Linked DNA regions of Cricetulus griseus. The protein of the gene in region 1 interacts with the protein of each later gene in a biochemical or structural test. Links are inferred from orthologs where the notes say so. Each region holds a gene or a part of one and is shown in the gene's direction. Other genes may lie near its edges.

The links. The genes of interacting proteins can lie anywhere in the genome.
Region 2: the proteins of Arhgef12 (region 1) and Igf1r form a complex in vitro, tested with the Homo sapiens proteins (2 studies listed by BioGRID and IntAct, with this or other methods). The link is inferred for Cricetulus griseus from reciprocal best matches to the Homo sapiens genes ARHGEF12 and IGF1R.

Annotation. Positions count from the first base shown.
Region 1 is NC_048597.1:154,789,649-154,800,272, reverse strand, and holds the start of Arhgef12 (rho guanine nucleotide exchange factor 12), read left to right. Parts: upstream 1-4,430; 5' UTR 4,431-4,695; coding exon 4,696-4,727; intron 4,728-10,624. UniProt on the Homo sapiens protein: May play a role in the regulation of RhoA GTPase by guanine nucleotide-binding alpha-12 (GNA12) and alpha-13 (GNA13). Acts as guanine nucleotide exchange factor (GEF) for RhoA GTPase and may act as GTPase-activating protein (GAP) for GNA12 and GNA13.
Region 2 is NC_048596.1:129,270,003-129,273,961, reverse strand, and holds the start of Igf1r (insulin-like growth factor 1 receptor), read left to right. Parts: upstream 1-1,159; 5' UTR 1,160-1,630; coding exon 1,631-1,724; intron 1,725-3,959. UniProt on the Homo sapiens protein: Receptor tyrosine kinase which mediates actions of insulin-like growth factor 1 (IGF1). Binds IGF1 with high affinity and IGF2 and insulin (INS) with a lower affinity. The activated IGF1R is involved in cell growth and survival control.

The DNA of each region.
Region 1 (10,624 bases):
TTCCTTCCTTCTTTCCTTCCTTCTTTCTTCCCTTCCTTCCTTTCCCTCCTTCCTTCCTTCCTTCCTCCCTTCATTCTTCCTCTCCCTCCTTTCTTCCTTTTTCTTTGTTGCAGATACATTTTCTTTTTATCACTTTTTTCCACCTCTCTTGATATATGGTCTTGCTTGTATAGCTCAGGCTAGCATTGAACTCTGTCCCCCTGCTTATGTCTCCTCAGTACTAGGATTACAATCCTGTGCCACCATGCCTGGCTCTAATGTAGAGCTTTAATGAAAAAAAAAAGTATTATTTGTTAATGTATTTGCTATTTTTACTATGTTATTTAGATCAATGGTGATTGGCTAATTCAGTTGGTAAGCCAGGAAATGGTGCTACTGAAGCAAGGCAGATGGTCAGCAAGTAGTGTCAGTTCATTCTATAGTCACTGGTGACACTAACTCAATGAGTGACTACAGATGGTATTGGCTACAGAAACCAGTCATGGGGGAGAGGTTGGGAACATGTAGACATTCTTGCAAATGGAAAGGCACTTTAACAGTGGGGGCCTTTTAAGGTGGCTGCTGTATAGTTAAAGGGGTTGCATTTGGCTCTTGGGCTGTTGTTTTCAGGAAAGATAGCACCATGCTCCCTTTTCTATGATTTGTGTCCCAGATATGCCAGTGTGCTTCTTTCCAGCAAAACTGAGCAGAATTGGAACCTGGGGAATGCTGATTTCAGCAAAAGAGTGGCTTGGCACACGAGCAGAAAGGAAAAACAAAACAAAACTGGCTTTTTCTTTTGGCACTGTGCAACCTGCTCCAGACCAGATGAGCAGGCTTAATCTAATGCCGGCTCTTTTCTCCCTTACCCCTCAGAGGTAAAGATTGTAGATCTTTCTGTTGGAGGCACACTCAAGGGAATGTCTGTAGATTTTATTTTATTTGATTTGATAAGAAGACACCTGAACAAGTGATAAGGGGGGAGGAATTCTGCATTTCAGCTTTTCTTGATGTTCTAACTAGTAACCATGAAGACATTTCTCTTAGAGAACAATGTGAAGATGACTCAGCAGTTAGGAGGTTGCCTGTTTTTACAACACAGGTAAATGAAGGGCAGATTAGCGTGTGATGTGTCTCTAGACAAAAGGGAATACTTGCATTTGAATTACTGTGTAATCATCACTGATATTGCTCAAGAAGGATTTATATTTCAATATGATTTGTACTAAATTTTATAAAAATAAAGTAACTTTTTATAGACTCAGAGTCTGCCTTTGTATCTTTCTTTATTGTGGCTTTGCCAAGAAAAGCAGCCTTTGTCCTGTAGAAATGTTGACATCCATTCATACTTGGTGGTGACAGTAATCTGCTCTTTGGCATTAACCATTCCTACTTTTTATATGGGAGATAACAATCAGCACACAGAAAATAGTTTGCCTAAAGAGGAAGAATATCTCTCTGATTTGCCACCTGTTTGAGCAGTTGCTGTCTCCCCTCCCCCCAAGCTTCAGGTATGCTAGGCAAGCACTCTACTTCGGAGCTATATCCTCGCCCCTCTTTTTTTGTGACAGGGCCTCACTTTGTAGTATAGGCTGGCCTGAAACTCACTATGTAGACTGCCTCCAAACTCAAAGTAATCCTACTGTCTCAGCCTCCCAAGTGCTGGGATTAGAGATGTAAGCTACCATACTCAGCTAGATTGAATTTCTATTATTTAGATCAGTCCTGGACACAGTAGGTCCTTAGTAAGCACACTGAAGTAATAGATAAGAGGACAAATGTGGCTTAGAGGACATCTCATCGGAAAACTGTGTGTTCAGTGATTAGGTCATTGGTGCTACCTCCTAGGTAAAGGGTATGACCTAGGGAGCAGGCCTTGGTTTGCTTGATTGTGTGTTCTATAGGTAGATAGGTTTTAGGACAGTGGAGCAGCCAACAGCTATAATGAGGCATTTACCTAGGATATTTAAATAAAATCAATGCCTTGCAAGTGATTAGAGATTTTCATCATTGAAACAGTAGTTTGGGAGTGAATAACCACTGGTTATTCAGTCCTTTGCTGACCGACCATCTTCTGAGGCTTTCCCACAGCAGAATGCCTTCTTTGCTCACAGTTAGAACCTTGGGGTTGTTAAATTTGGAAAGATGTTGAAAGCAGCTTGCCAAAAGGTTTTGTATGCAAGGAAGAGAAGGTGAATTAGGAAATGTTCCCAGTTTGTTTTATTCCTGAAACTTAAGCATTGAGGCAGACTGGAAAGGAAGATGGGAACTTATTTTTAAAATTCATGATTTGATGAGTCATCAGACTCCATTCATTTAATACTTGCATTGTAACACTATTAGAACAAGGGAGAGTAGGACAGTACACTCAGGACAACTTGAGTAAGCTTGGGCATAAGGTTTGCATTTTGTTTACTGTATATAGATTTATGGAACTCTTTCCAGCTATAGGTAGAAACAAGTGGAGTCTTCAGGATAGTGTTGCCATGTTGGGATTTACCAGCAGATGGCAACGTGTCCAGGTCTGATCATTAGGAAAGTGGCTTGGAACTCGAATCTGCTTCTATTCTTTCCAAAAATAAACATTACAAAATTAGCTGGCTGTGCCCGGAACATAACATAACAAAAAAAAAAAAAAAAAAAAAAACCCAGCAAGAGAGTCATTTCAGGCGTCTGTTTATCTTTCCCCTTTGTACCCTGTTCTAACGTCACCTTGAGCTCATGCATCTATTCAGGGATAATGATCCTTTCACGAACTGTTGTGGAATGACTTGGAAACATTATTAAGAGGCAACTGTTTCCTCTCCACATGCACTGTTTATTAGATTTGATTTCCACAAAATGGCCGAAGTCTCTTCCTACCGACACGGCTTGAAGCTCAGAAGTTTAAAGATAATTGTATAAAAGGAATAGCCATTTGACGTTTGCAGGCAGAATTGGAGAGATATATTGTGTCGTGATACTTCATTTCTTCAGGCAGAGAATTAGTCAGTCATAACACTGCATGGGTAGCTGCATGCCTCTACCCCATCGAAAAAGAAACCGGAAAACAACATTTGGGAACTCTTCAAAGAGATCCCTAATGCTGTTTACAGGACAGATGTATTTCTTCTCCCATCTCTTTTCACAACAAGCTTATTAACTTGCTGTGGAAAGCACCATGTTTTCTCAATTTGGCAAATAATACAGTTCATTTTGCCAAGGCAAAACAGCCTAAAAGCAATATTTATATCAAGAACTCCTGGCTTCATGTGGGCCCAGATCCTTTCTCCTCAGTCTTTTCTGGCCACCCCACCCCGCGGCTGCAGGCTGGGCTAGCAGGTGCCCCAGGTGAGTGGACCACCCCCAAACCTGTCTGTGTGCGGGTTTGCCTAACACTGTCAGGGCCCGTGCACCCGGGCTCGTGTGCAGCCATCAAAAGCATCTGACACCGGGAATCGAGTACATTCCCTTAAAGAATAAAAGTTTCAAGCGCAAGAGAGGCGGGGAATTCCCCGAAGACCCTCTAGACGTGAACTCCGGGATTATGGAATGGCTCGTCTGCTGTCCCGGGTGGAACCTACACTCTGGACTGCACCTCGAGGGGATACAGGGACAGCGAGGACAGCGGCTGGCGGCGGAGAGAGAAGCAGCTTCCTTCTGACCCGCAGAACTACTTTTCGCTCCCGCCATCCCCCTTGACAGCGTTGCGCGGAAGTATCCGCGCAAGTTTGGAGAGTCCGGGAAGCGGAGGGATCCCGGGTGAGGCGGCTTCCCGAAGTCCCAGGGAGAAGGGCCCAAAAAGTCGGCGGGGGAGGGGCCGGCTCGGCGCGCTCCAGCCGCGCCGGACCGAGGAGACAGAACCGGAACCGGAACCCCCGCGCGCGCCCGCAGTGGTCGCAAGGCCCGTCACCGCCGGCGGACCCCCTCTGTCGTGCGCGCTCCCGCCAGTGCTCCTGAGGACCCGGCGAGCGGCCCTCCGCGCGGAGCAGCAGCCGCCGCCGCCGCCGCCGCTTCTCGGGGGCCGGGCTTCCGGGCCGGGCCGGGCCGGGCCCTCCCGCTCCTCGCGGGAGCCGCCGCCTACCAGAGCGTCGGGGAGGAGCCGTCGTGCCACTGCGGAAGAAGCGCGGGGGCCTCCGAGGGATGGGGAGCTGCTGGCGGAGCTGAGACAGGGTCCCTGTCAGCGCGGCGGCCGGTGCCGGGTGGGGGCGGCGCGGAGCAGCTCGGGGCCCCGGCCCGGGGACATGGGGCGGTGCGATCCCGTCGCGGGACGGCGCGAGACGCGGCGGAGGCTGCGGCCACGAGCGGCCGGCAGCCCCAGATAGAGCGGGGACCCGAGGGCCGGGCTCCGCCGACTCGGGACAGGAGGCGACGCCCGTCCCGAGCCGATCCTACCATAGCCTCGGAGGGATCCGAGTTCCCGTCCCAAGCCTCGCGACTTCCCTCTGACGAAGTTTTTCCCCTCGTGCCTTGCTGAAGATCATTCCTAGTTCTAGAACTCGCCTGTGGCCGACTTGCTCGGTTTGTTTGGGGAGATAACTTGTTTTGCTTCAACCCGCATCCCCTTTCCTTGACCCCTTGCAATCGGATGTTCTAGATGACTGAATGGAGTTTTGAGTTGGACTTTTGTGTCCCTGCCGAAATTGAGCCTGATCCCAGAGCACTGGGGGTGGGGTGTGGAGGTGTTACTGTAAAATGCAAGTTGGATAAAAAGAAGACCTCTCGCCAAGGGCCCCAATGAGTGGCACACAGTCAACTATCACGGACAGGTGGGTATGAAGTTCCTCGGTCGCTAACCTTCCCTGTTTTTGGCCCCACGCTGCAGGGGAGTCGGTGATTGCCGACTTGCCTTCAGCTAGTGCAATTGACAGGCATAGGAAAGAAGGTTGTTTCGGAGCTGTGCAATTAGTCTAGGGTTGCTGCCAAGTTATCCGGTTGATTGAATTTGGAAATGCAGTTGTTTTTTTTGGGGGGGGCAGAAACTTTCCCCATATTCTCAGAGGAAATTAAGGAAAACCATAGCTGTGGTTTTCTGTCGGGTACATTAGGATTGTGTACTCATTTTGGAACCAGCGGAAGGTCATTTTGGGTGAAGGTCAGAGCCCGAGGTCGGTGGGTATTGGTGCATCATCAGGTTGATTCCTATCCCGTGGTAGTTCTAGACCCTTAATTTTAGGAGTTTATGTCTGTGAACTTACTTTTCATCCTGCTTCATGGTGATTTGTGAATCTGATCTCTTTCTATGTGACCTGCACAGTGTTTAATTATTAATTACCTAATTTTCCAGAATGTTGACACTACCAGTAAATCACGGGCTCTTGCTGGGGACAGTTTCCAGGAGCTAAAGGAAATGAGGGAAAACCATGGGGCCTGCTTCTAATTATTCTTTTTTGCATTTCATCTTCTAGATGCTCTCGAATTTAAAGCTGTAAACCCTAAGTCTGGTTTAGGCATGGCAGGTGGATCTTGTTTGTTAATCAGGGTTGCATGGCATTGTGTATAGAATATGTGGCCCTAGTGTAATTCTCTGACACTTAAAGAGTTCTTTTGAGTACTTTTCAGTGAAAGCAAGTTGGTTCCTTCAACATGTTTTATTTCTCAATTTAATTATGACATTGTATGTTACTTCCAAATTTTAACTTGCTGTTTTTTTTTAAGTTAGCCTTTAAATTGTTATTAAACAAACAAACAATTGAAGCAGAAGGCCAGAAGTCTATAATGCTCCTGCAGAAAGCCGTTTAATTTCCTAATAAGAGAGTCTCACCCAATTGTGAGACTCATCTGTTGATTTTTAAAGGATCCAAATTCCATTATCATACCATAACAGCTCCTCCAGAGACAGAACTTCCTTTTCCTGTTGATGCTTTTCAGTGTCACATGAGCGTTCACCTAAAAGATGCCCTTAAATATTTAAACTACTTATGTTTACCCTTTGTTTGTGTACTTTGCTAGGCAGGATTTTGTTTTCAGTTTTCCTGCAAATACACTTTACGTATATGTAGAGGTAGTTGTTTTGTGTCTTCTTGCCTCCCCATCCTTATTCCTTCTCCTTTCTTAGTGTTTTGTTTCTGACACCTCTGAGAAATCACTCACAGGTGTCCATATAATTGTTCTTCTGGTTCATTCAGTTCTTGTCCTTTCTACTGATGTAGTCCTGGTTTTCATTAAGATGCTTCGGAGTCTAATTTGTAGAAAAATACTTTAGAGTCACTGAATCATTGCATACAAAAGTCACACAGAAGCACCCATGTACTTTTTTTTTTTTTACCAGCTTTGCATCTCAGGGATTTTTGTTCTCTTTTTGGTATCTTGGAAATAAAACATTGGGTCATCTTTTTTATACTTAATTCTGCATATGAACAATAAACATTCAATTTGGTCTTTTTTGTTTGTTTGTTTGTTTGTTTTTGTCTTTGTTTTTTCGAGACCTGATTTCTCTGTGGCTTTGGAGGCAGTCCTGGAACTAGCTCTTGTAGACCAGGCTGGTCTCGAACTCACAGAGATCCACCTGCCTCTGCCTCCCAAGTGCTGGGACTAAAGGCATGCACCACCATCGCCCGGCCAAACATTCAGTTTTTAAAAAGTTTTATTTTTGTATTTTTACTTCTACAATGTGTGTGTGTTCATGGGTATGTACACTTGAGTGCAGGTGCCCTCAGAGACTAGAAGTGGCTTTAGGATTCCCTGGGTGATTGGGAGCTGTCTACCCTGGATGCTGGAGACCTGACTTGGGTCCTCTGCTCTTAACTGCTGAGCCATCTATCTCCCTAGCCCAATTTTTGTTTTGTTTTTGTGAGACAGATTGTTGCTGTATGTCAGTCAGTCCACCTGCTCAGCTTCTAGAGAGCTGGGACTGAAGAGATGGGCTACCTTCCTGCAGGGTTCTTGCTCTTAGATATTTGTGTGAGAACAGTGGATGCACATTCTATGAAATCATGTGTTGTATCCTTTTTTTTTTTTTTTTTTCTTTTCTGTTTTTTTCCCCCACCTTAGATAGGTTGTCTCTGTGCAGCTCTGGCTGTCAAGGAACTTGCTCTGTAGACCAGGCTGGCCTTGAACTCACAGAGTTCTGCTTGCTTCTGCTTCCCAACATACTTAAAGGCTTGTTGTATCAAACCACAGTGGAAAAAAAAGTTGATGCTGGTGAAGGGAAGCAGTCTAAATAATGTTAATGCTTTGTGGGGCTTAGGCCTAAATCTTCTCAGTGTAAACCTTTACTAGGTTGCTTTAGACAACTGAGCCATGTAAAATAAGATGATAGAAAGTTTATTTCAAAACTGATTGAAATCCTGTTCTTGGTCAGACACTGGGGGTTGACTTTTTTTTTCTTTCTTCAAAAAGAGAATTAATATGTGATAACTGCTTTTTTTTTTTCTTCTAAACTTATTCTGCAAATGTAAAGCAGCCCTTTCTCTTTAAGAGAGTAGTTCCTGGTTTGAATATATGTTGAGGTGAAATCTGGAAGTACTGGTTTAGTAATAAGTGTATGCCAGGGTGCCTTAGCAAAGTTCCTCATATAAAATCTAGCTCCCCCCCCTCAGCCTTCTGTATATCTTCTCTCACTGACTCCAGTGTTCAGAGACCCTTTCAAGTTTGAAGTACTGTATGTGGTATGGCTTTGTTCTGTAGAGTGTTCAGAGCCACCAGGCCAGCTGTATGAGTTGCAGTTCTTTCATTGTGGTGCTTCTGACTACAGAGTCTGTCTGTCCCTAGTTGAAGTCAGACTAGCTGGTTTTTGGGCGTTGTTCTGTTTTGCAGTTTGTGGCAGGCGACACATGGCTGAACAAGATAAGAAGGGTTTTATTCTTGTGTTAGGGACGTGCTGGGGCTGGGATGGAATTCAGCTATGTTTAGGCTCTGATTGGTCACTTAGGATACTCAGAACTCTGTTACATCCTGTTATTATTTTGCAGTTAAAGCCACACATTCATTTGTTCCGTTTTCTTTTATTTTTTATACTCCGGCACCCACTGACTTTTAAACCTTAAAACTTATAGTGTGTTTATAAAGGCTGCTGTTTTTATGTAATTTATCTGAAAACTTTTTCTTTTTTTTTAAATTAAGTATTTTACAGGCTCTTTCTAGTCCCTTGGCTTTGTAACTGCTGTGAGGTCAGAAGGCTGAAAAAGTGATAGAAATGTCTGATTGCCACTTTTCCATCTGCATCAATTGCTGTATTCAGCCCTAAAATAGCCTAATAATTTTCAGTGCTCCCTGGCTGGCTTCTATCTCAAGAGTGGAAGATACTGTAGTGATTGCTGTTTCATATAAGAAGTAGAGTGGAGAGAATTTTTTGTTTTTGTTTTTGTTTTTGTTTTCAGTGGATCCAGTGAATGATTATTTCAGGAGATTCTGTAACAGCAAGTCTTCAGGGTGGTACAGGTTGGAAAGTCAGCAGGGTCTTCCTTGAGATTCCTGGACTTTGTTCATTCTAGGGCTTACAGATCTTGCTGTTTTTGATTTGCAGATTGGCATAAGTTTTTGATGTGTTGGAATTTACTTAGCACTGAATTTAGCTTTAAAGGTTAACTTTTAAGCTTTTAAAGTGAACATGGAGACCTATACCTTTACATTAATATATAAAGTAGAGCTATCATTAATGTTTTTTTTTTTCTGTCAAAGTTGTCTTATAGTTCTAGTTAATAACAAAAGCAAGCAACCTACCCTCTTAGGGTTGTGTATTATTTTCAAGGTTGCATGAGTAAGATTTAATTATTTGTAACATTTTCTTATGAAATAAATCCATTTCAAATACAGACTTGAAATTGAGAATTAGGAGGCTCATACTGCCAGCTTTATACTATTTTGTCTTTTCTAAGTTCAGAATAAAGTCCTGAATAAGTCTGTAATATAACACATGTACTACTATAGTTTTACCAGTCAACATGGAGAATCCAAAGTAACTTTTTAAAAATTTGGCGTTATAATCTTCCTCATTAAAAGCACACTTATATTGTGTTTGTATTTGTTTAATGAGTTGACAAAGATGCTTATTTGAAATGATTAAAAAGTGTATTAGCCTGCTGATACCATTTCATACATAGTGATTTCTGGTTGTTAACATGTTAACATCGTAGATCATAGGCACAGCAGGATATCTTCATGGTTCTGTGTAGGTGATGGATGGATTGTATGCTGTGGTTGTCTGACAGCTATTAGAAATGCTGCTTAGTGGTTGGGGCTGTGGGTCAGTGACAGTGCTTGGAGCAAAGCAGGAGCAAACAGGTCTTACTACATAATTCTTTCCCAGAAATGGACTGGAATGATGTTTTCAGGAACGGGAGGCTTAACTTAATTTTGTCTCATCTGTTAAAATTTGGATTTGATGATTTAATTAACATGGAACTAAGATCCCTTCTCTTACTGAGGAATTTTCAGAAGTCACACAACCCTGTTGTCTCCTGTTGAATAAAATATTCTTTCATGTACAGTGATATCCTATGGTAGTATAATTTTTATAAAAAAGTGGGACAGTCAGACATGATTTTTCCTCCTGTGCTGCTAATGGTCCTAAAGGCCTCGTGTGCCAGGCAGACCTTCAGATTCAAGACTTCATAATCTGGATTTTGTAGATTCAAACTGTCCTTTTTGTTTTGTTTTGTTTTGTTTCTTTCTTGCTTGTTTATTTATTTTGTTTTTCGAGACAGGGTTTCTCTGTGTAGCTTTGGAGCCTGTCCCTCTGTAGACCAGGCTGGCCTTGAACCAAGAGGTCAACCTGCCTCTGTCTGCCTAGTGTTGGGATTAAAGGCTTGTGCCAACACTGCCTGACTTTTTTTTTTTTTTAAACCTTAAATTGTTTTCTTTTTACATATATTATTATTATTTTTTCTGTTTACCATTGTTTAGTAGCTTGCCAATCTCACCGAAAAAGAATAGGGTATTTTTTTCTCACAGGATGCTTTCTTCCTGGTCCCTTATCTGTGCTAACTTTAAATATCTCTAGAGAATAAAGCTTTTGTCACTTCCTCAGGAGACTGAACAACAGGCTGATAGGTCTTGTAGTCAGGAAGCTTTTCCTGATCTTCAGCTCAAGCTTTTCTTTTAAGTTGTCCTGGTAACTTGTGTGTCTTTTTGCTGTACCAGGCTAAATGATGCTTTTCTGCCATTTTGAGTTTTCATTCCTGTATTGGTTCATGTGGTTAGCCGCTGCTTTCTTTCTAGTTCTCCTTCCCTTACTTATTCTTTGTTTAGCCAAGTTATGTTTTCTCTTGTTCCATTGTCTAAATGTCAGTCTGTCTCTCTTAATATTTTATTAGCTTTCCCTGACTTGCTATCCTAGTACAATTTTTAGTTGGTCTCCTGGTACAAAATGTGATACACTATATGATTCATATTCTAGAGAAACAAGTTCCAACTTATTTTTACTGTGATTCTGAGTTCTTTGATTTTTCTCCAGCATGGCCCTAGCCCCCAAATTACATGTAAAGAGATTCTTAGAAGAAATGTAGATAGGTAGATAGATGTATGCCTGTATGTATCTATAAACTTTATACTTGGGATTAAATCCAGGGCCTCAGGCTTGCTGGGCAAACAGTTGGCTATATTCTCTGGCTATGTGTTTATTTTAGATAGCATTTAGAATGGGTGTAAGAGATTGTAGCAACCAAATGAAACAAACATATACAAATAACATAATTACCAAATCAGCTAATTAAACAATTACTCA
Region 2 (3,959 bases), on another chromosome or scaffold:
AACACCTGGGGAGCGCCGCCACGGGCGCCCGAGCCTGGCGTGGAAAGTGCCCTGCTTAGCAATCTTCGGGGGTCCCCTTTCCCCAGGTGTGCCCCTCCCGCCGCGTCTGGGCTTTCCACCACGCTGCGAAAAAATGCTGCATGCATGCACTTATTTATTTATTTTGCAACAGCTGCAAGAAACAATGAAGCTTTTTCACAGAGCGGGCCAGCGCGCTCTCCAGCCGCGCTGTTGTTGTTTTCAATGAAGCTCGGGGCCGCACTCCCCGCCCACCGCGCCCGCAGCCCGCCTGCTCGTCCGCCCGCCCTGCCACCTCCCGGGCCACCGAGTCCCACCGGCGCCCGGGGCATTGTTTTTTGGAGTCCTGCGGGAGGGGTGGGTGCGTACAGGGCTGGCCGGCGCAGTGCGGGTGGGGGCGGAAGCGTGGGCGCGCGCGTGGCTCTGTGTGCGCGCGGGGGCCAGCGCGGGTGGAGGCGCGGGGGGCGGTGCCTCCCTAGCCCGGCTCCCCACGCCCGCGCTCCGCTCCGCACGTCCCTGCGATCCCGAACTCCGGCTCTTGGCGCCTGCCGAGTCGGGGCCCGGCCCTCGGCGCGCCGGGACTGCGGCTGTGGACGCTTGGAGTGTGCGCGCGGGCACGTGTGCGCGGCCCCGAGAGCGCGCGCGTAGAGCCCCCAGTGTGTGGCGGCGGCGGCGCGGTGAGGCTGAGGTTCTTGTTTACCAGCATTAACTCCGCTGAGCGGAAAAAAAAAAAAAAGCGGGGGAGGGGGGAACCGAGGAGGAGGGAGCGCACCGGGCGAACTCGAGAGAGGCCAGCGACAGGGAAGCCGCCAGCGAGCCTGTCCCGGCGCGCTTGGTGCTCGCAGCCCCTCGGCCCCTCTCCTCGGACCCTCCACGCCTCTCCCGCGCCTGCGAGAGCTCCACGGCGCGCGGCGCGCTCGGCTTTGACCTTCAGCGAGCCGGAGCCCCCGCGCACGGAGTCGGCGGCGGGCGGGGGCCGACGTGGGGCGGCGGGAGCTCAGAGCGCTGCACGGCCGCCGCTTTGTGTGTGTGTGTCCTGGATTTGGGAAGGAGCTCGCGGCGGCGGCGGCGCTGAGGGAGGAGGAGGAGGCGGCGGCGAGCGGAGCCCAGAGGAGGAGGAGGAGCCCGAGGAGGGGGAGCCGCTCATTCATTTCCACTCCGCATATCTGCCCCTCGCCGACCTCGCCCGCGCCCGGGACTTCGGACCAGTCTCGCCAACTGCGTCGCGCTCTCCCGCCGCGGAGGCTTGGCCGGTTGCTCCCTCCGGGCATCTGGGGACGTTTGTCCTCGCCTGTGGCGATTTGGGCTTTGCTCCTCTCTCCGTACAGTTTTTCCCCCTCTTCTGCATCTCTGGGTTTGCAAATGGAGGCCGACGACGCCGACAGCCCGCCCCGGCGCGCCCCGGCTTCCCGACTCCGCCGCGCCGTGGGCCGCTGCTGCCGGCGCTGAAGGGGCCGCCCCGCGCCACCCTCCCCGTCCACGCCGCCTTCCGAGAATCGTCGCCTGCGCTCTTGTTTTTGAAGGAGAGTGAGGACTGAGTTGGAGACTTTTCTTTTCTTTTTTCTTTTTCTTTTTCTTTTGAGAGAAGGGAATTGCGTCCCAAATAAAAGGAATGAAGTCTGGCTCCGGAGGAGGGTCCCCGACCTCACTGTGGGGGCTCGTGTTTCTCTCTGCCGCGCTCTCGCTGTGGCCGACGAGTGGAGAAAGTGAGTATTTGCCCGCCGCCCGCGGCCACTGCGGGAACTTTTCCTCCGAGGGGCTGCGCCCTGTTTGGGAAAACCCAGTTGCCACGGGCGCAGCTGTCGGACTCCCGAGCTCGAGAGCGGAGGGTGGGGCTCTCACTGAAGGCAGGAGGGGAGCTTAAGGCTCGGGACCCCCACGGACTCTGGCTCAGCGCATCCGTGCTCAGGAAGGGCCTCAGGGCTTTCTCTTTCACTGTCCCGGGAGCGCTGTCCCGCGCGCGGCCTGGTGGGTGGGCAGCACTTGCTCCACGGCTCTTCAGGGACACTCCCGCGCGTGGGCACTTGGTGGGGAAGTTGGTGTCTGGGTGGGTTCAGGGTCCCTGCCACCCTCGTCTCTCCTCACCCCTGCGCGCGGGCATCTCCACACCCAGCGCCCATCCCGCGCAGCGCACCACGGTGACAGCACCTTTGGAGGCTTCACCGGTGGCTCATGGGGTAGACTGAGTGCGCCGTGGCGGCGAGCGGGAGCCTCCTGCCCTGCGGGGTGCAAGTTGTCCTTGAGGGGGAGGTGCGGGGTGGGGAGGCCTCGCGGCCCCAGGAAACGTTTCCAAACATCACGGCATGGCCTCCTGTCGTCCAACTTGTTTGGCCCATAAGGTCCCTAGGGTTTTTGGCCTTTAGCATCATCTCACATGATACGATGGGCGTCTAGTCCCCTCGTCCCCCACGGCTTCGTGACTCGGGACTCATCGGTGTGGCTCTGGGGTTCAGGGTTTATTCCCCGGCTTTCCCTAGGGAAGCGTGAGCTTGGGACCTTCTTCAGACTCCTTCGGGGGTGCGAGGCTTGGATCCCCAACTTTGAGGGTCCTTGGGCAGTCTGTAAGTTTCTACCCAGCCCTGGACACCCCTTCTTCCTAAAAGCGTCTAAGTAAAACGTGGTCGGGACATCAACCCATGAGCAGAGCCGATGTGCTTTTCCACACACGTGTGTTCTCAGCGCGGGTTTAGGGGCATCCACAGCCACACGACCCGAGGGGACACCTGGACTCCTAGCCCGGGGGAGAGGTGTCGTGTGCGTTGGTTTGGGCAGCGTCAGTGTGGTAGTGGAGGAGTGGTTGTTTTGTTTTGCAAGCGCGGAGCTCTGGCCTTGGTTTTGTTGTGGCCAGAGTTGTGTTGCACTGCCCCCCCCCCCCGCCCCCCGCACTTCCTTTGTACATACTTAATAAGCAGTATCGCTCCACGCTCGCTATCGCTTGCAATCTGATAGCTTTTGTTTTGGTGGTGTTGGGTAGGAGTGAGTGTGTGTGTGTGTGTGTGTGTGTGTGTGTGTGTGTGTGTGTGTGTGTGTGTGTGTGTGTCTGGGAGTGAGCACTCTCCACAGTGTCAGGAGGAGGGAGGTGGTTTGGAGGGGGTTTGTTCTCGAGAAAAACAGTGTGGCATACTGGTAGTTTTGAGATGATAGAGTAATTTGAACACAATTAAAAGTTTAAATGCAGTCTCCGAGCTGGGGCTGGGGAGGTGAGGGCGTGCTGATGAGTAATGGTTACAGAATGTATGCAGGTGGTGCCTATTAACTTCGAAAAATCATGACGGAGTCTTGAGTTAGCGAGGGGGAGATGATGGAGGCTGCGCACGGCGTGCGGCCCCACCACTGGGGTAGTTAACAAAGGCTGTTTCTATAAACAAACCCTTGAACTTCTTTTAAGAAATGTCTGCGATGGAGTACGAGCAGATCTTTATAGAACTATAGCTGTTTACTGCCTAGAGTAAGGCGCAGACTGGGCCGACACACAGATCTGGGCTCTCCTGTCCTTTGTTTTCCAAACTTTGAACTTACTGGATTGGGCGAAAGGTTTCTGGCTCACTTCTACCCAGGCGTTTAGATGGTGTTTGGGGGCAGGGAGGATTTTTAGCCTTTAAGGACTAAATATGGTTTAGAAGGCACTAGGAAGGAGTCCATTTTACTATGGCATCCTATTGAACTATGCACTTTCTCTACTTTTGTTATTTAATAGAAGTTACGAAATGCAAAGTAGCAGCGATGGCCTTGCATCTTGGGGCAGCATGTAGGCATCTGAAACAGGTTGTGGCTGGGTCTTCATGAACAATATGCTTTGTCCAGAACAAGGGTGGCAGGAGAAGGGTGTTTTAATGTGTGTTGTTTATCATCCAGTGATAATTGGCCAAGCTCTTCCTCAGGCTTCCTGAAATGTGATGGATGGCTAGAAAGCACCCAGAATCCTTGTTAGGGCCTGCTGA